Linked DNA regions of Arabidopsis thaliana. The protein of the gene in region 4 interacts with the protein of the main gene of each other region in a pairwise test. Each region holds a gene or a part of one and is shown on either strand. Other genes may lie near its edges.

Evidence for each region.
Region 1: the proteins of WUS (region 4) and PUCHI interact in a two-hybrid assay, tested with the Arabidopsis thaliana proteins (one large-scale study listed by BioGRID).
Region 2: the proteins of WUS (region 4) and BBX26 interact in a two-hybrid assay, tested with the Arabidopsis thaliana proteins (one large-scale study listed by BioGRID).
Region 3: the proteins of WUS (region 4) and AT1G21000 interact in a two-hybrid assay, tested with the Arabidopsis thaliana proteins (one large-scale study listed by BioGRID).

The regions. Positions count from the first base shown.
Region 1 is NC_003076.8:6,163,702-6,168,473, forward strand, and holds PUCHI (Integrase-type DNA-binding superfamily protein), read right to left. Parts: upstream 2,340-4,772; 5' UTR 2,205-2,339; coding exon 1,158-2,204; 3' UTR 825-1,157; downstream 1-824. UniProt on the Arabidopsis thaliana protein: Probably acts as a transcriptional activator. May be involved in the regulation of gene expression by stress factors and by components of stress signal transduction pathways.
Region 2 is NC_003070.9:22,215,878-22,220,275, forward strand, and holds BBX26 (B-box zinc finger family protein), read right to left. Parts: upstream 1,956-4,398; coding exon 1,200-1,955; downstream 1-1,199. Other genes in the region: AT1G60240 (NAC (No Apical Meristem) domain transcriptional regulator superfamily protein), read right to left, coding at 1-69.
Region 3 is NC_003070.9:7,335,357-7,340,563, forward strand, and holds AT1G21000 (PLATZ transcription factor family protein), read left to right. Parts: upstream 1-2,248; 5' UTR 2,249-2,562; coding exon 2,563-2,565; exon of another isoform or gene 2,566-2,569; intron 2,570-2,650; coding exon 2,651-2,854; intron 2,855-2,941; coding exon 2,942-3,157; intron 3,158-3,414; coding exon 3,415-3,732; 3' UTR 3,733-4,096; downstream 4,097-5,207.
Region 4 is NC_003071.7:7,807,920-7,813,303, forward strand, and holds WUS (Homeodomain-like superfamily protein), read right to left. Parts: upstream 2,893-5,384; 5' UTR 2,753-2,892; coding exon 2,257-2,752; intron 1,655-2,256; coding exon 1,566-1,654; intron 1,475-1,565; coding exon 1,181-1,474; 3' UTR 952-1,180; downstream 1-951. Other genes in the region: AT2G17960 (uncharacterized protein), read right to left, coding at 4,461-4,535, 4,920-5,210. UniProt on the Arabidopsis thaliana protein: Transcription factor that plays a central role during early embryogenesis, oogenesis and flowering, probably by regulating expression of specific genes. Required to specify stem cell identity in meristems, such as shoot apical meristem (SAM).

The DNA.
Region 1 (4,772 bases), on a different chromosome or scaffold from region 4:
CTTTATATACGAGTTACAGTAGACTTCACATAGTTGTGGAGATATTAATCGATTGTTTAATTCTTTTTAAAATTAAAATATCGATTGTTTTAAAATATTTTTCACATACTCTACAGTCTTTATCGAGTTAATTTATTTTTTTCTTATAGTAAAATGAACATTTTGCCTAAATCGTTATATATATTGACGCATGCAAAACAGATAATTAACAATACAAATTTCAGTAACTATTTGGAAGTTATTTAATTTGAAGCTAGACAAATTGTGAAGCATATATATATATGATGAATTCCCAACGTATATATGTTTGACTAGTATAACAGGATTGGATCTTTGTTGAGTTAACAAAAAAAGTGTATAGTTGATCAACATTGGAGAAGGCACTAATTGAGTTCTATGAAAGAAAGTCAAAAACCTTAAACAGATTTAAAAATGAAATAAAGAGTTGTGATGTTGAGTTGTTGTAGACAAAAGTTAAGGCAAAATATAGGCAAAAGGAGGGAGACATGAAACAGTGATTGTGCAATGAAATACCAAACAAGTCATGACCAAAACACATGTTTAACGACCAAAAACACCATCATGCTACTTCACTAAAAGTCCATCTCACATTCACTAATTTTAAATTTTAAATTTTATAACTTAGACTCTCAATTATGTTATAATTCAAACTAACGTCAAAATTTATAACTGTCATAAAATAATCATAATATCTGAGCACATACTGATCAAAAATAGAAAAATGGGGTATTTGCATCTGATCTTATAATCCTAATATTACATGTGATATATTAGTTGTTCACTCCGATCCTAGTCATTTATCCGTTTGGAGCAAGTCATTTGATTTCATTATTATTATAATATAGCACACTTATAAAATATACATAATGAGTGTGTCGAAGTAGCATGGACAAAAAGTGGTCTTTAATACAACTCGGATTATCCCTTTTTGCTAATCAAAACCATAATACAAATTAAAGAAAAAACAAATCAAAACTTCAAGGTAAGGTAACCTTATGATGCATGAAACAATAAGCAGGATTTATATAATAAAGTCGATAACATATAGTTAACAACAACAATCAAACGACCATCGAATAACGTAAATACTAATAATATTATTGCATATATAAAAAACATATATAATATAGAATGTTCTAAAAGACTGAGTAGAAGCCTGTAGTGTCTGCAACGACATCTCCAAAAGCAGCGATAGAAGAAGAAGATAAATCTTGCGGCTCCATCATCCCGTAATCTTCCATTGACATTGAAGCGGCAGCAGCACCATAGTTCGTGATCATGGCAGAGAGATCACACGAACCAAACTCATGATGATTCATCATCATCATCTCACCATCTTCGAAGTAGCTATTACTAAACCCTCCATATGGTTCAGAGGCTTTGCTTGCTACCGGAGTTGTGAAACTAGCTCCGGCTTGATTTTGGGTGGTGGTGGCCTCCGGAGGTGGTTTAAGGCAGTGGTTTGGGACAATGCAATCCAAGTAACCCGAGTTGTTATTGGACTTATTATGTTCTTCGCTTGTTAAAGAGAAGAAGAAGTTGTTTTCTTCGTCTAGTGAAGAAGATAACGAGCCGTTAGAAGATGAGTTTTGAGGACTATTACCAAACGCTTGAATATCCACGCTTTGATGACGAACTGGCGTTTTGAAAGAAGCCGCGGGTAAGACAGTTTGGGGGAGAGTGTGTTTAGGTTGTTGTGGTTGATGATAGTTTTGATAATGAGGATGATGATCGATGACAAACTGTGGAGAAGAGTTTGGTAAGAAAGATTGGTTGTTATTGTAAGGAGAGACAATGAGAGAGTGGAGATTAGGGTTTGTGAGGATGGTGTGGACATCAGTTGGAGTGTAGACGAAGTTGGTTCGAGCTTGAGTACCTCTCATTGAAAGAGCAGCTCTATCGTAGGCAAGAGCAGCTTCGTGAGCTGTGTCGAAAGTGCCTAGCCAGTGACGTTCTTTGGTGGTTGGATCTCTTATCTCGGCTGCGTAACGACCCCATGGACGTCTCCGGACTCCTAGGAACCTCCCTGGCTCCGCTTGCTTTGATCTCCGGCCTCGTCTCTCGCCGGTTGTGGTGGTGGTGGTTGTGTTGGCGGATGTGTTTTGGTGGATCAGAGCAAAACCCATTTGCGTTTGGGATGTTTCAAATGGTTTATTATGGTCTAGGGTTTTGGAGGTTGACATGATGATGAAGAAATGGTTTTTTTGAAAGGAGGTTTCTTTTAGGGTTTTGGTTAAAGATATCTTATGATGAGTAAGTTTTTTTTTGGCTTTGCTTCTGTCTAAAGATGATGGTGCTGTTTGAGAATGGAAGTGAAGTGTTGTTATAAATAGAGAGACAATGAGCTTGATAGAGAGAGAAGATAGAGAGACTTCACTTTTGATTCAACTGCTTTTAGTAGACCATCTTTTGTTTTGTTTCTTTTATTATATTTCCAAAGATATTATATTTTGCATCAACGACAAAAAAAACAAAAAAAAAAACGCTGACACATTAGTTGGATTTTTATATGGCTTAACCAGCTGAAATAAATTCATACAAATTTTAAACAGCTTAATTGACTGATTATTATTAAGGGTTTCTTTTTTTAAAACAGTCTTAATTTTAACTGTGTGTACAGTATATATATGTATGTATATACACGGATGGCTACTTATGAAAGCCTAAAACAGAGGCCAAGAATCATTGGAACTACAGCAAAATCTGGAATGTCACAGTAACCAATCTCGAGTTAGAAGAAAGAACAAGTAATAAATACATACTAAGTACCGAGTAACTTAAGAAAAGTAATTGTGATGTATATATTGCATCATCCTATTTGAATCTTCTATTTCAATGGGATCAAGCTAATTGATTAACTCAAATAATCTACTTAGTGGTCACGTGCAACATGCATAATAACCCTACATACCTTAGCCTAAAGGTCAAGGGTCTACGTAAAAATAATCGATATATTTCTTTAGGTTAAATCCCCTACTTAATTGATATATCCTTGAGATGATATGCATGCATTGCTAATTACGATAAGGATGTCCAATTAATTTGAGTGCACTGAGGTAGGTTCGATAATGTTATTTTCTAACACAATATATCAACAATTCAAAAATAAATATATTTCAAAATCAGTGTTAGTTTCTACAACCCCTGATCAAATCACATGGTTACCCGCATTTTAAGCGGAAATAGAAATGAGAACAATTTTGTCACCTTGTTCTGATTTTTCAATGGGAGTGGTTTAGAGAAAGACACGATGAACTAAACAAAAATTAAAATGCTTAGGAAGTACGTATAAATTTGGTTTTAATTAAATAGCTCAGTGGACAATTTTGTATTGATGTCCTTGTATGCAAAGTTGCAAACAAGCACAAGTCAACAACAATCTTAGTCTCTTTGTGTTTGTAGTTTTGTAGGATTATATATATATACATAGGAGCTTCGTCTATTTTCATATATGATTGCATTAGGAAGTTAATGCCTTACCCGACAACAGTTCTATTGATGAATCAAGAAAATTGCTCATAGTCAACGATAACACGACTGTTAAGTAAGAGTTCAAAGAAAAACAGAACAATTAGAAGATGACTATGAGCTCTAATCAAACTCTGGATTATTTAGTTTAGAGACTTTAATCAAACTTTTCAAAAGAGTAAGAACACTTACGTTTCAGTCATTGTGGAATTTAGATTGATATTTTTATGTATTCCATGTTCGAAAAAATGTATAATTAATAGAACGTTCTAGTTAATAAGAGAGTACATATTTTCATTAACTAATTAGTCTTGGGAAGAATACATATACAAAAATTCTTATAGTAGAACTCAATAAAGGCAAACATATAGATTTGGTGTGATAAGCTTTGATCTGTATTGAAATCTTTTTGGTTAAGTGTTAGTCTGTTAGATAATCTTTAGTATATCTAATTTGATGATGTTATAAAAGGCTAATGCTCATATATATGGATAAGTTAGTACTTTTGGTGTGAAGTACGTAATATGCAAGTATATATTAGCCTTTTTAGCAAAAACTTACGTAAATATATACGAGCATTAATAGAAATCCTGCAAATGACTACACAAGTTTTTGTAGCAAAAACAAATACTACGTCATATAAGCCACGTAAACCAACAATCAAATTAATTAGATTTGAATGAATACCTTGCCTTTTTAACCGAATGGGCTACGGTACAAAAGTGTGATGGACTCCTTGTATTAAGGGTTGGAAATGTGACGATTCTTGGTAAAGCTTTTTGCACATTGCTTAATGGCATTGGGAATGAAAATTATAATTCTTTTTTCATAGTATAAATGAGTCAAACTATTAATACTATAATATATGATGATATTAATTTTGGCTCTTTTAGAATTATATCTTTGACTAATACAACAGTAATACAATTGTGGTCGGACCACGATATAGTCATCATCTTCTGGTGCAACCGTTCCGATCCTAGCGATACAATTTACCAAACACACCAAAAATGTTGTGCGCCAGATATAACTCTACTGAAGTTTTATCAAAACAAAGATTAATTTTACCTAAATTTATATCGGATTATTAGGCCGAAATATAGAGTGGTACTATACAACTAATCAATTGTATAGGTAGGAATGTTTGCATCAAAACTGTAGGCAAATTTTACAGAACTTTAATTCGTGTCCGGATGTTACATAGAGTTCTAAAACGTAATGATTAGAATAAAGTAATAAATGCTTAATTGGGTGAATTTATTAATATATGTCATCCCTTTTAA
Region 2 (4,398 bases), on a different chromosome or scaffold from region 4:
GATCATCATCTTCAAATAATTTGCGACGATTGCTTCTTCGATTGATTGTTCACGTCTTGACTTCATCATCTTCGTTCTTCAGTGAAACTAAGATCTCTTAGAAGAAGAAGATTTAAGGAAAATGCTGATGATGATTGATGAAGGGAGAGAAACAAGAAACGGAAGATGTAAAATATGAAGATGATAGTGTTTCTTGGGAAAGAAGGTACTCTATATATAGAGAGGCGCTTCGTCATCTGTTGGTACCGTTTATATCAAATTAGTGAATTGACCGATTTGTCCTTTGTTTTTTTCTCTTCGATATATACACTTAACGAAATTATTCTATAATCTTTGCTTATTGAAATAATTAGACCGATAGTTGTCAATATTTGTATATTTTACTTTGGTTTAAAGATGTAATATTAAGTTCTTAAATAAGAACTAAATTAGATCTATTTAACAAAACGTGAAGAATTTGCATTTTTATTTCGTTCTTTCCTTTTACAAAATGACTATGTTTTCTCTTATTGAAGAAAATAGTCAGAAATAAAATATTAATAAAAATTATTTATTATACAAGCATATTTTCTTGCAGAACATCATGTAACTTTTTTTAACACAAAAAAGGTCATGTAAATTTTATTTGTACTATTTTTTGTCGTCATACTAATCAAAATCTTCTACTCTGCTTACTAATTGTGAGATATTCACGTAAAGTACAACAACAACATCAAAAATCAAGATAATTAGACGATTTTATTGAGAAAATCACATCCCCGGAAATATTGGAGTTGGTTCTTGACTTTCTTAAATAAAATTAAAATCGCAAAGTGAAATTTAATTTTATTGTTGAAAAAAAAATATTATTTAATTCCTATAAACCCCTTAAGCATCGATTGTTAATCAAATTAATTTGTGTTCTTAACATTTTAGCAAAATTGTTTTATGTTTTTTCGGTAATTGTGGTTTCTAGATAGTTTCTAGTTAAATGATGAGATATACATACATCAAGATATGATATCTTCCATCCTCGAACAAATTGGAGTTAGTTTTGACATTTTATTTTCTTCTAACATATTAAATCCAACTGATTGTTTTTTTTTTCTTCTTCTTTTCTTTTTCAAATCCAGAAGCAATTATAACACCAAGAATTAAACCCCTAACGAAAACTCTAAGAAACACACATAAATAAAAAGCTAAAGAAGACGATTTTCTATTCACCTACCAAACCAAGAAAAATCATCAACATCATCTAGATAATCATAATTAATATCTTGTTGAGGTAGTTCTGTTGGGGGCGTAACTGGAATCCCCTCTGCCGCAGGAGGATGAACCGGTGGGAAATTAAACTGATAGCCGCCAATGAGAAAACGGCGAGAAGGTCTCTTGCAGATTACGCAAAGCTTACACCTCGAATGCGGCGGCACCGCGTCCTCGTGACTGTGAATCATCCGGTCGCAACTATCGCATAGAATCTGGTTGTGTGTAGGACAATAAACAACAGCATTTGAATTCGAAGCTACGCATAACTCACATCTCATTGCAAACATCCATCTCTCGCAATTGTTATCCCCGTGGCAGCTCCTCTCAAACATCTCTGCTCTTCTTTGGTGACCACCCACATGCTGCTGCTGATGATTATTGTTATTGTTATGGTGAACCACATGAGGCATATGTGCATGATCATGGTGTTGATTATTCATGTTAGCGAAGACGACTTGAGTTTGATGGCCATTAGTGGCACAATTGTAATGGTGCGAATAACATGATTGACAAAGAACCATCCCGTCCTCATAACAGAAAAGTATAGACGGATACATCGAGCAGTTATCGCAAAGTTGGTAACGTACGTGTTCTGCATGTATGTTATTATGATGGCGAAGGTTGTCACATGTAAGGCAGAAGTTAAGAGCTTCTGTAACACAATGGATCACGGCTGTTACATGTCTACATGTGTGACAAACTTGAGCCATGTTTCCTGAAAAATATTCATATAAGATTATAACAAAATTATCAACTTCGCAAAACGGAAGAGAAGAAACACGAATTTAAAATAAAAAAAAACATTCAACTTACACGAACCAAGGAGAGAAGGAAGCCAAAGTTTTGTTTTCTCTGTGAAACAATCTGTGAAGCTCGTATTTAGATGGAGTTTCTAATTTGTAGATTTTTTTTTAACAAACTGATTATGTAGAAGGATATATTTTACTAAGTTATATACTTATCTTTAACTATAAATTATTCTCAAAATTCAACATTACATTTATTAATTGAGAATAAGAAAGAAAAAAGATAATTATATGATATTTGAAAAATTGATCCTTGTTTCTCATTTTTTTGTTAAGAATAAAGTTTTTTTTTTTCCTTTTATCGGATCTTAAAGATCAGTAAGAATAATGTCGTTTCTTAAATTTTGATGTAGAAATCTTTTTTTTTTGAAGAAAAAAATATCCCAACTTTATCAACATAACCAAACGGGGGACAAACAGGTAAATTAATGAGTTTTTTTTTTTTGTATAACTATTTTGCTTTAGAGTTTAGATTGTTAGCTTAGTACTTACATACTTAAGTTTCTGATCAGTCTTTGTTATGATTTTCACATGTAGGTAGGAAGCTGCGCTTTTGTTCTTTTTAATGTGGAAATGCAGCCTTAACAATGGATGGTATATGAATTTGAAGCTGCTCTTTTGTGTCTCTTTTTTGATGCGGATTAGCATGCTTTTGTGTAAAAAACAACTTTGCTAAGAGTTACTAACTATTCAAGTGTTTGTATGGTTCTGTAATATGGTTTTTTGATACAATGCTAGCTTGAACTTGATGTCATGCTTAGGCCTGGGTACGAATTTCTTTTTAGCATTTAAAAACGGGCAATTCTTGTATTCAGCATCTGTGATTTCTCATTATTTTGTCGTGTAAAGTTACTAAACTAGTTTAATTTAGAATTTATAGAAAAAAAGAAGTGGCTCTCATGACAAGTAGTCTAAATTCAGTAGAACATAAGAGTTATTTCATCACAGTACTAAGAGGAAGAAGAGAAGTTGCTCTGCAATTCCTTGATGCCTTTGGAATCAAGAAAAGAAGTTTTGCCCTTGAGAAAATCAGAGTACCAATGAGCAGAGAGTCTAGGAGATCTCTTGCGATGTGGATCACTGAAATTTACAGAGTACAATCCATAACCATAATCGTACCGCCCTATAAGCTCGAATAAATCCATAAATGACCATACAAAATAGCCTCTAGTGTCTGATCCATTCCTACACGTAGCAATGTCCTTTTCCTTAATTACACGAACAAGATAAGAGAAGAAAAGATGCAATAAAAAAACTTTACTTACCTTATGGATTTGAGCACACCACCAATGTAAGCATTCATGTATTCCACCCTATGTGTATCCTTGTGTTGCGTCATCGGTGTACCTGTTTGTATATGACATTTTAAGTCCAAATCAAAAACATGAGGGAGAGACGAATAAATTAATCATAGAAGAGATTGACCATTCTCAAGAATGTAGACAGGAGGATTGTCATAGCTCTGCTTTATATACTCTAGGACAGCTTCCATAGTCCACGGAGCAACAGGATACTTGTCCAAACAAAAACAAAACAAACAATGAAAGATAGATTAGTAGCACTTATTTGTTTAAAGACTTATAATGTCAAGGAATATAAGGTGTTTTGTATCTGAATTTGGTAGCCTTAAAACTCTTACCTCTATAACTGAAAAATTCCCAAGGTCTTCTAACCAGTAAAACGAAGAAAAAATGAGTAGTAACAAATTATAAAGATAAAAGAGGTTTTTTTTTTGTTATACAAAAGAATGAGTCTGATTCATACAAGTCACATATGCGCCCATGTCTGAGTAGAAGTCCGGGTTTCCAGAAATAGAAGGTTTGAATTTGATGTTTGTGACAGAAGCCGCAAACTAATGATTGATTCCTATGAAGTCAGATGAGCCTTTAACTTGTTCTGATTCTTCCTCTGAGAAAACTGGCAGTCTTGATCCAATGGTTCTTTTCATTGTATCTGGATAGTCTCCAAATATAAGAGGTCCAAGGAACCTGAGTTTTAAAGAGCAGATTTTCTTTCTTTTCAGCTTAAGATCTTGCACATGTTGCCCAATTTGAAAAACCTTTTAGAACTGTTTGTGCCTGACTCACCAACCGAAATAGAAATCTTTGGCTCTTTGAGTTGCAATGGCATCATCCTTGGAGCTTGTAGAAGGAGTCAACCCCATTAAATATAAGCCAAAGCCTATGGAACCACCCTGCTTATCCTGCACATTGTATATAGTATGTTGCTTCTTATACATTCAAAAGAGGGTTATGTATAAGCAAGTATACCTTGTACTTTTGCTTATATAGTCTTGAAGCAGAGGCGTGCGCAAGAAGTAAGTTATGGCCTACAATATATGTTTCAG
Region 3 (5,207 bases), on a different chromosome or scaffold from region 4:
ATCATCACGACGTTCAGCTCTAATCTAAATCAAACCACAAAGTAATCAATATTGTAATTTTCTAAGTTTAAGGACTTCTTTTGTTTTGGAAGCGTGTAATTAATTAAGGGCCAAACATGTTTTTCCATTGGCTCTTCTTTGCCACCAGAAGCAAGTTGCAAAAGAGAGTGAAGCACCCAAATTGATTAAAAAGAATTAAAAAAAAAAAAAGGGTTCAAATCCTTTCCATCGTGCTGCAAATTGCACTTTTTGTTGGTCATCCAAATTGCTCATTAATCTTCGTTAAAAAATATATAACATTTGGGTGATGATTAAAAAAGTAGACTGTAGTGGACCCGCCACACCTAATCGTACCCAATGATAATCCGGTAAGGTTCGGTTCCATTTGTCCGCATTCCCAAACTTAGAAAATGAAACGGAAAGAAAAACATAATGTGTTTTAGTTTTTATCTTAAAAAACTATAGACAAAAACTCAAAACATTTTTCGGATTGTATACCAATAAATAGAGAGAATGTAGTTTTAACCTCGCAAGTCTCAACTGATGATCCGACTCGTCCAAAGCATGTTTATAGATTTAACTAGTTTAGCTACCATTCAAATTTGATTTTTAGGTTACCGTCCATTTTTATAGGACCAATTCTATAAGAAGTGGTTTAGATATCGGGTAGATTTTCATTTTCCGACTTCATGCATGATTTAGTTCTTAAAACTTGCATGTTTGGCTTCTACTAAGACAACCCTCGTTTTTCTGACGACTCACGTGGTCAAACGGTGCACAAAGGTCACGTGAGGCACGTGCGTTCTACTGTTTAAACGCCTCTTCTCTTTTGCTTCTTTTTTGCCAATTTGAAAGAGATAAGAATACAAATTAAAAAGATGTTTCTTCCACTTTCCTCATCGCCGTTCTATGCTCACTTTCTTTGGTCGGATTTCCAATTACATTGTTAACTATTAGTGGTCACATAATTTTTTCATGACGTGGATCACACTTCTCTTTTTACATGTCTATCTCCTTAATTAGTATCTTTAATTGCTTTCGACATCAAAAGCTAATATCTATGTTTTACACTCTATTAGTTGTTTAATATTCACAATATTCAATATCAAATCTCACCGTATTTGGAAAATGTTTATTAGTTCAGTACATGACACACTCGTAATCAACATTTTGAATTTTTTAAAATGTTTTATTTGTTCAGTACATGACACACTCGTACATTTCGAATTGCTTACTTTTTTTGCTTTAACAACGTCCAAGTACAAAGGAGATTCTCTAAGACTACAGGATTTGACTTTTTACCAGAGAATCTATCAGGTTAAAAACGATACACACACACACACACAAATTTACAAAAACAACTCTAGTCTCTCTACTTCTAAAAGTTTAATAATTTGTTTTTAACTTTGAACTACAAACGAACTCCATTTATTGTTTCTTGGATCACGTTAAGTAACGTGGCAGCTGAACGTTGACCTATGACTCAAAGTGAGTCCCACTCTAACTATCATCTTGACGGCTCAGAGTTCTCCACGAGTGTGAAGTGTCAATCGGAGGAGGGGGTAAAACCGTAAAAGCTTCCGACACGTCCCACGAAAAAGGATAATACGAGAAGGCTCTTCTCATCATCCAACGGCTCACGATTTAACAAGACTAGTCTCGCTTCTGTCTCTTCTCATACCCGTCGATCTGTCTTGGCTTTTCAGCTATCGCCACCTCTTCTCTCTTTTTTGCTTATCTCTTCAATTTTCGGATTTAAATTTTACGAAAAACAAAGAATTAGGATAATACTATTTGTCTCTCTAATTCTGACCATAATTAATTTTTATTTTCATATTTGACTTTTACAAATTCAAGTGTGGGAGTTCCTTTATTCTTGTTGTATCACTCTCAATGCTTAACTAGATTTGACATCCACATATGTGTTTGTCCGCTTATTATACATATGATGATATGAAAATATATCAATCATTATATCATTCGTAAGCTGAAAAATTAGTATGCTATTTTTTTCTATGTCGAAACGTAATTATTTATGACCATATTTGAACAATAATATCGCATTTTCACCTTTTATTTTTAACCTTTTAAGACTTTCCTTTTAGGTCTTCTAGATGCACACTGGACAGACACGCATATTCAAGATACGTGTGTTTTTGGAGGACTTCAAAAAAAAAAAACGAGATAATGATTTTCCCAAATTACATAAAGAAGAAAACAAATTGATTTTCCCAAATAAAGGAGTCAGAAAAATATAATTTAGGAACAAACAAAAAAGATACCTTTAATAATAAACAAAAATAACTCTAAAAATATTTTAAAATGAAATTCGTATGAAATATAAACCGCATAAACTTATCGTGACCGCCTTCAAATAAAAATAAAACCCTTTATTTTCTCTCTTTCAGCCGCCGCTTTCACTTACCTCTTCCTCTTCCTTCTTCTTCTTCTACCTTCTTCTCGTAAAGGTTTTGCTACACACTGGAGCTCGCAAATCTGGCTATCGAAAACCACAATCACAAACTCAACTTCGGGGCCTTCAAGGCCAATCACAAGAAAGTCATGGTGAGTCTTATTTTTAATTCTTTTTGTTTGTTTTTACCTTGCTATCAATCTTCTCCAGATTCTGATTTGGTTTCGTTTTGTTCAGGGACCAATGATAAGAACAGAGGAAGAAGAAGACTATACAAGTCCACCGTGGCTAATGCCAATGCTACGAGGGAGTTACTTCGTCCCTTGTTCCATCCATGTCGATTCAAACAAAAACGAATGCAATTTGTTCTGTCTTGATTGTGCTGGAAATGCCTTTTGCTCTTACTGTTTAGTCAAACATAAAGACCATCGTGTTGTTCAGGTTCAATATCTCTTCTTCTTCTTTTTCTCCTCCTCAATCTCTCGGTTTTTTAATTGTAATGTTAATGAAAAGAATCAAAATTTGCAGATACGAAGATCTTCGTACCATAACGTTGTGAGAGTGAATGAGATACAGAAGTTCATAGACATCGCTTGTGTTCAGACATATATTATCAACAGCGCAAAGATCGTGTTCCTCAATGAAAGACCTCAGCCTAGAATCGGTAAAGGTGTTACAAACACTTGTGAAATCTGTTGCAGAAGTCTCCTTGATTCTTTCAGGTTCTGCTCTCTCGGCTGCAAGGTATAACACAAAAAGACTCTCCCTCTGTTTTTTCCCCTGTTTTCACCATTTTTGTTTGAAACAATTCATATGGTTTTAACAAAAATGTAAACTTTCTTAAAACCCATTAACGCATTTCACTTCTTAATGATATCTATATCAAATTTTATCCGGTTTTGTTTAGTTTTGTTCGTGATTCATGTGGATATGCTCTGTTTTTGTAATGTTATTTGTGGAAATAACGATATTGTCCTTTGGTTGTTTTTTGTTCTGTTTAGCTTGGAGGAATGAGGAGAGGAGATTTATCTCTAACCTTCTCTTTGAAAGGAAAGCATGGGAGAGAGTACCTTGGTGGGTCGGAATCAGATGAAGCTACTACACCGACTAAGATGCGTAAGACCAATGCTTTCAACCGTCTGATGAGTGGTCTCTCGATCTCAACCGTTAGATTCGATGACTACGGTCCCAATGGTGATCAAAGGTCTTCAAGCTCTGGTGATGAAGGTGGTTTTAGTTTCTCTCCGGGAACACCTCCGATCTATAATCACCGGAATTCAAGCAGACGAAAGGGTGTCCCTCACCGTGCTCCGTTCTAAGAAAAGATAATTACTAAATTTCCAACCCCATAGTAATTAATTATATATATATATATATAGATAATGGTATAATACAATGTATAACTTGGGGTGAAATTTAGGATGTAGTCATAATGTTGTAAATGTGTATTATTTCTTTTTATAGTTTTTCTAAAAGATAAAGGTGAAATAATTAGAACACATACATAAATACATTTTTTATAAGTATAGAAGAATTAGGTTTTATAGTGGAAGTGTTTGATGTTTAGTTTGTTTAAAAGGCATGGCTTTGTCTTGTGTTGTAATGTAATGTGTACATTAAATTTTTGTTCATACAATAATAATATCAAGGTGAATGATATATTATAAAGTTTATGCGTTGTCTAATGACTAGTGACTACTATATTTAGTCTATATCACCATTTTGTGACATTCATCTAAAACAAATGTTAGTGTAGTCTAATCCTTTCATGAACTGTTTTATATGGTAATGTGTAACTGAAGTCATGTCGTCATGGTTACATGGTTTGTATAAAAGTCGTAAGAGTGACACTGAGACATATTTTTCAATACTATTGATTGATTTGTTGTAGTTTGACGTAATCAAGAAGAATATTATAATAGTATACGCTAAAGAATATTATTATGCGGTTTAAAAAGTGAGCAAGTGGATAGAGGAAAATAAGAGCCGTGTGGAATCCGAAAGGCTGCGATTCTCTCTCACCGTTAAGAGACGGGTGTTCATTCCTTTTTCTGATCGCTCAAAATTATTCAACATCATATTTTAAACTCTCTACTAATCCACGGAATCGAATAATTGGCAAACTGTTATTGCTTATAAAATTTCATTAGTTATAATAATGTTTTAATTATGCCATTTCGTAAACACAAAAATCGTTTTCTGTAGCTTTTTAGGTATCCCACAAATTTACGTTTTCTTCTTTTCACTAGGTTTTCACACTTAAAGCATCACAACTTTTTACTTTTACCAAAAAAGTTCCGAGCTTGGTTCATAATTTCTCGGAGTCGAAAACTAGAATTTCAAATTATCTTGTTTAGGATCACTACAAATTTTATTTTACGAAAATGTTAACATCAAAAATAATTTATATAAGGCGGTAATCACATATTTTCAGTATATATAGTTTTTTCACTGTAGTTTGGTTTTCTAGAATAAGTAGTTACACAAAGAATTTATGATAAACGACTGTGAATGTGTGCTTGTCCTAAGTTAGTAGTTACCGAAAAAAATAGAAACAATATCTCAAAATAATATCGGAGTCTCACTTGTAAGTTGTGAAGGCCACCACAACATATATTTGTTGCATTTCTGTCTAAATCTTTGAACAGAAATGAAGTAAAGGAAACAAGAAATCGCATTATTTCTAATCTTATACTTTTGGATAAAACCTTTGCTATTTTAGTCCTTGCCAACAACAATACATGTATACAAGAGAGAGTATTGCGACCAAGGACCGTGGCTCTGCCACGTAATC
Region 4 (5,384 bases):
AATGTTATTTCTTTTTTCTTAACAATTTAAAATTGTATTATTTCGAAAAGTATTTATGAAGTATTTAAACAACAACAAATTCTAACTTATCAATAACAAAATTTGATTTGAATTGTAATGGTTTGCTATTGTACCATTTTGGCCTACTTTGCTGTAGGTTTTAAATAGAAATATGAACTTAGAAGAAACCCCTATAAACTTATTACCCTCCCATATAGTTTAATCTTATCAATAAAGGGTTCGAGGTTGCATTTTTTGGGGATAACGACCAAAATCAACCCCAACTATTTTGATGCGGTCTTTTTTTAATTCAAATTTTGGTCATCTGTATTTATCAACCTAGACTTACATAATTTTTAAATAACAAACTGAACTGTGTAACATATACATGTTAATGTCGATTTGAATTGTTAAGTTAAAATTATCACTTATTTTGTATCTAAATCATTCCTTTTATTTAATTGGCTAACGATTAATATTAATTTATAATGAATATATGTTGAAATTGGCTAACGGTTACATAACTCAGATTTATTATTTGAAAATTGTGTGAGTTCGGATTGATAAATGCATGTAATCAAAATTTAGGTAGGAAAAAACCGCATAGAAATAATTGAGATTGATTTTGACCGTTCGTATTGATGTAATCAAAATTCCATGATTATCGATAGATCAAGCTGATTGCATAACATGAAGAAGAAGAAAACTTCCACTGAAAAGCAACTTGCTTGTTTTAGTTTTGAACTACCAAAAAACATTCAACTGTTCACAAGTTCTGTTGTAAAACAACTATTGTTGATTTCGGTTCAAGATCACGTTGTAATCGATAATTAAGATCATAACATTGTAATCAAATATAGTACATCTCTAGCATTTCTTTCATGCCTCCGGATCTGTGAGGAATTCCTTTTTAAAAATTTACTGAAATAGTCATTTCTTCATAGTAGTAATTAAAATTTTAACTTATTCATCATAGAGATAAAACGGTTGTCAATTACAATTAAAACCTAGACGATACTTAGCTAGTAATTACAAATTACACATAACGAGAGATAACTAGTTAACTACTAATATAACAACTGCATCATTAATCACTAGCGAAGCATAGTTGTGAACATACGAGTACGAAAGAGAGAGAGAGAGGAAAGAGCTTTAATCCCGAGCGACACCGGCGTAAGAGCTAGTTCAGACGTAGCTCAAGAGAAGCGCAAGGGCGAACTTCCGATTGGCCATACTTCCAGATGGCACCACTACCACCGTTGATGTGATCTTCACCGTGCATAGGGAAGAGAGGAAGCGTACGTCGATGTTCCAGATAAGCATCGCCACCACATTCTTCTTCTTCTTGATGACCTTCTAGACCAAACAGAGGCTTTGCTCTATCGAAGAAGTTGTAAGGTGCAGATGAGTAATGATGATCCATGTTTGCCCATCCTCCACCTACGTTGTTGTAATTCATAGAACAGTCTTGTTCCTTCACCCAAAAATTTCAGTTTCATTAAATTTCTATTCATATATGTAGTATAAATATTATTTGAATTAATGAATTATAGTTTGGTACGTACCATAGATCCATAGACATGGCTACTCATGTAGCCATTAGAAGCATTAACAACACCACATTCAGTACCTGAGCTTGCATGATTTAAATTCCCTTCAAACATATTAATATACGTATCATCAGTGATCATATATGTTGTGATTCCAGAATCCAGACCATACTATATACAGGGGAAAAGAATGAAGAAAGAGACATAAAATTAGTGATTTTTTTTCTACTAACCCAAATCCCTAATTGTGTTACAAGTCACAAATGAAAATAAAATGCACGTGAGTCTAGTTTCCATTACACAACAAAGAAACCGTTCTTTAGATGCAAATTTGGTTTGCCCCAATCAAGATCCATAACTTCAAATATACGTCATTACATGTACATAACATCTTCTTGGGTTTAATTATTTTTACTAATTCATGTAATAATAGATGGTGTGTAACATGTTCCTATAATATATATTTTAGATTTTTAAATCAAAACCATCTGAATAAATTCATAAATCAACAGCATTTTTTAAAATCTTTTTAACAATTAACATATACATATATCTATCAAAGTCATATATGTAGATCTTGTTAGTTTTTTTTTTTTTGTGTGTGCTAATTCATGTAATAGCTAGTGGTGTAAATGGTTCTCTTAGTAATTATAAAAAACCACCTGAATAAATTCATAAAAAAGCATGTATAAGAGAGATTAGTCACCGTTATTGAAGCTGGGATATGGCTTGTTATGATGATAGAGATGATGGTCTTGGTTAAGTTTAACGTTGACGGAATTAGCAGGTCTCTGCATGGGAACACCGTGATGATGGTGAAGTAGAGGATGATAATGATCGTTAGCCGCCATCATAACCGAGTTGGGTGATGAAGATGGTGTGGTCATGTTTGTTCCGTTGAATCTCTTCTTCTGACGCTCACGAGCCTTATGGTTCTGGAACCAGTAAAAGACGTTCTTGCCCTCAATCTTTCCGAACTGTCTCAGCCTTGCAGTGATCTTCTGGATCTGATCGGCTGTTGGTGACCGGATTGCATTGTTGTAGTAAAGTTCTTTGAGGATTTTGATTTGCTCCGTCGTCGGTGTCCACCTCGTGCTGGTCTGGCGACACGTGTAACCACCAGAGCCGGACTTGTTGTTGTTGTTGTTGCCGCTTTCTTGGTCGGCTTGATGATGATGATGCTGATGCTGTGGCGGCTCCATGTGTGTTTGATTCGACTTTTGTTCACAAAGTTAACGGTAAATAAGATCAAGACTTAGAGAGGAACAAGAGAAAGAGAAGTTTGAAGTTAGCAAGAAAACAACTTGCTGGTAGTAAAGAGATTTTAGGTTTTGTGTGAGAGAGAAGATTATATATATATAGAGAGATAGTAAGGTATTGAGTTATATATATAAATGGGGACCCAAAAAGAAGGTTTTACAATATTCTAGAAAATCAGTTATTCACTATATTATTCTTTTATGCATGTAGATATGATTTCATACATACAAAACCCTATTGAAAAATGTGCTTGGATATAAGAAATAAATTTTGCCAAAGAAAAGGATATAAGAAAGAAAAATAATCAATTGAATTAACATTCAAATAAAATGTTATGTTTAGGAAGGAAATTCTCTTGTCAAATATATTATTTGATTTTTTTTTATTCAGAGGAAAAATCGAAACTACTCTTGAGAGTTTTAGTGAGAATAATAATAATTTTTATGAAAAAATTTGTGGGGGATCGAATCAGAGGATATCTGGTGGAGAAGGATTGAAAGGGACAGAGAAGTTAGAAATAAACATGAAAATGGAAAGGGACAAAGGAGGGAATTAGAAAGGTGAGGGCATCATCGGTATTTACTTAGACGAAAAACAAACTCTCTTTTTTCAATTTCTCTGTCTCTTCACAATTATTACTTCACCAGCTTTAATTGTTATGTATCTGTCTACGTATGAAAGATATTTACCCATACACACAGAAAACAAAACAAAAATTCTAAAAGATCGTTATGAATTATTGTATCGTAGGAATGAAAGAAAACGATTATAATTTTTTTCTAGAATGAATAATAAAAAAAGTGAAAACCGTTTGATCATAAAAATACATTTTTCCTTCCTTATGGTCATGAGTCATGACACATAGGTGATATAGGATATTTTTCGTGGTGATATCGTCCGGAAATGTGTTGAAGAAATACTCTATATAATTTTACTTATGCTTTGCTTTAAAAGATATTAAAATTTATGTCAATTACAATGTGTGAAACGAGTGTGAAGACAGGTGTACTTATGAACATGTTGAGTATTCTTTAGTTAATTATATGCTCGAATTTATAGGAGCATGGATGGATCTTTTTGTATAAATGCGTGATTTATTCATTTTTTTTAAAAAGTTTGAAGGGCTTTGTTTTAGTGAATATGACTTTTGTAATTGAAAAGGAACAATACCCAACTTTTGTATAGTCTTATTGTTCTACGTAACAGCCACATATTGTATATAAAAGATATATAAAGATTTTTTTAGGAATCTACAAATTTCATAGAAGCTATTATAGTTTTTATGGGGAATGGCCCTGAAGATACGGCTGATAAAATATTTATTTTTTTTAAAATAAAAAACCAAAGATCCGATCACTGAAGTTGCTTGGCTATTTCATAGTATAGTTTTGTTTATATAGCCCCCATGATTTCTCGGATTCAACACAACGTGCAAAGAGTATCGGAAAATTAAAAATAGGTTTTACAAACTAACTATTGTAACTATTAATATTTGGAAAACAATCTAAGGATTGAAGTCTTAAAAAATTTTTTTTGTTAAAAGGTTAAGTCTTATAATCTTTTATCACCTAAATAAACTCAGTTGTATCCCAAATTTTTGTTGGTAAAGAAAGTATTTAGTTAGACTGGTGGATTACTCATTTTTTAACTTTAGTCGATTATATTGGATAAACTTTTGGATTCCATCCAATCGATATATCCGATTTGTAATGTCGTTTGGCATTTCTATCGAATCAACGGTCCAATATTTTTATCCAACTAGGAGATTACACCAAGTCACCAAACTATAAACTAACTAACAAATGATAAAATCATATCTCTAGTTGGATTGTGAATGTCTTTTGACAAGAAACAAAGAATGTCTTGTTACTCTACATGCGTATGCAGTGTATATATAGATGTACACTCCATGAGGATTATACTTCTTCACTATAATAAAGCATAAAGTTTGAAGTTAAAAAAAAAAAAAAAGATGTACACAAGCAACTACATGAACATATGGTCACATTTACATACTGGTTTTTTTTTTTGGTAAAACTTTACGTAGTGGTTGCTACTTAGAATACTCTCTATAGGCCCTTTGATTTATAAACTCCTATGAGTACGTACGGTAACGAGCATGCAGTGAGAAACAGGGGATCTTAATTTACGCATCACGATCTTTTTCATTGTCGTAAAGTACTGTTGAAGAGGCAGAGGGCTAAAAGACGCAGAGCTTTTGTAACTAATGTCTACGTGGCCCCTAAAGCCACTCTTCTTTATTGCAGAGATTTCATTTTCATTTAGGGCATCATTAGTTTCAGTTTGTACTTTTGCCCTAATTTCATGAAAACGTTTATAATTAGCTTTTATTATTTTGGTTTCCCGGAAATTAATGGGGGAAAATTGGGTTTGGAACATGGTCCCCTCTACGATCCGAGCCTTATATTCAGTCTGTCATATGTTATTCGCTATTTACACCTTACGTTACACTGTTTATATGTTTAGAGCATTTATTGAATTTTTAATTAGTTCATCAACGTACAACATTAGTGTTTGAGCTTTCAATATTCGTCAATCGTCATGACTTGATTG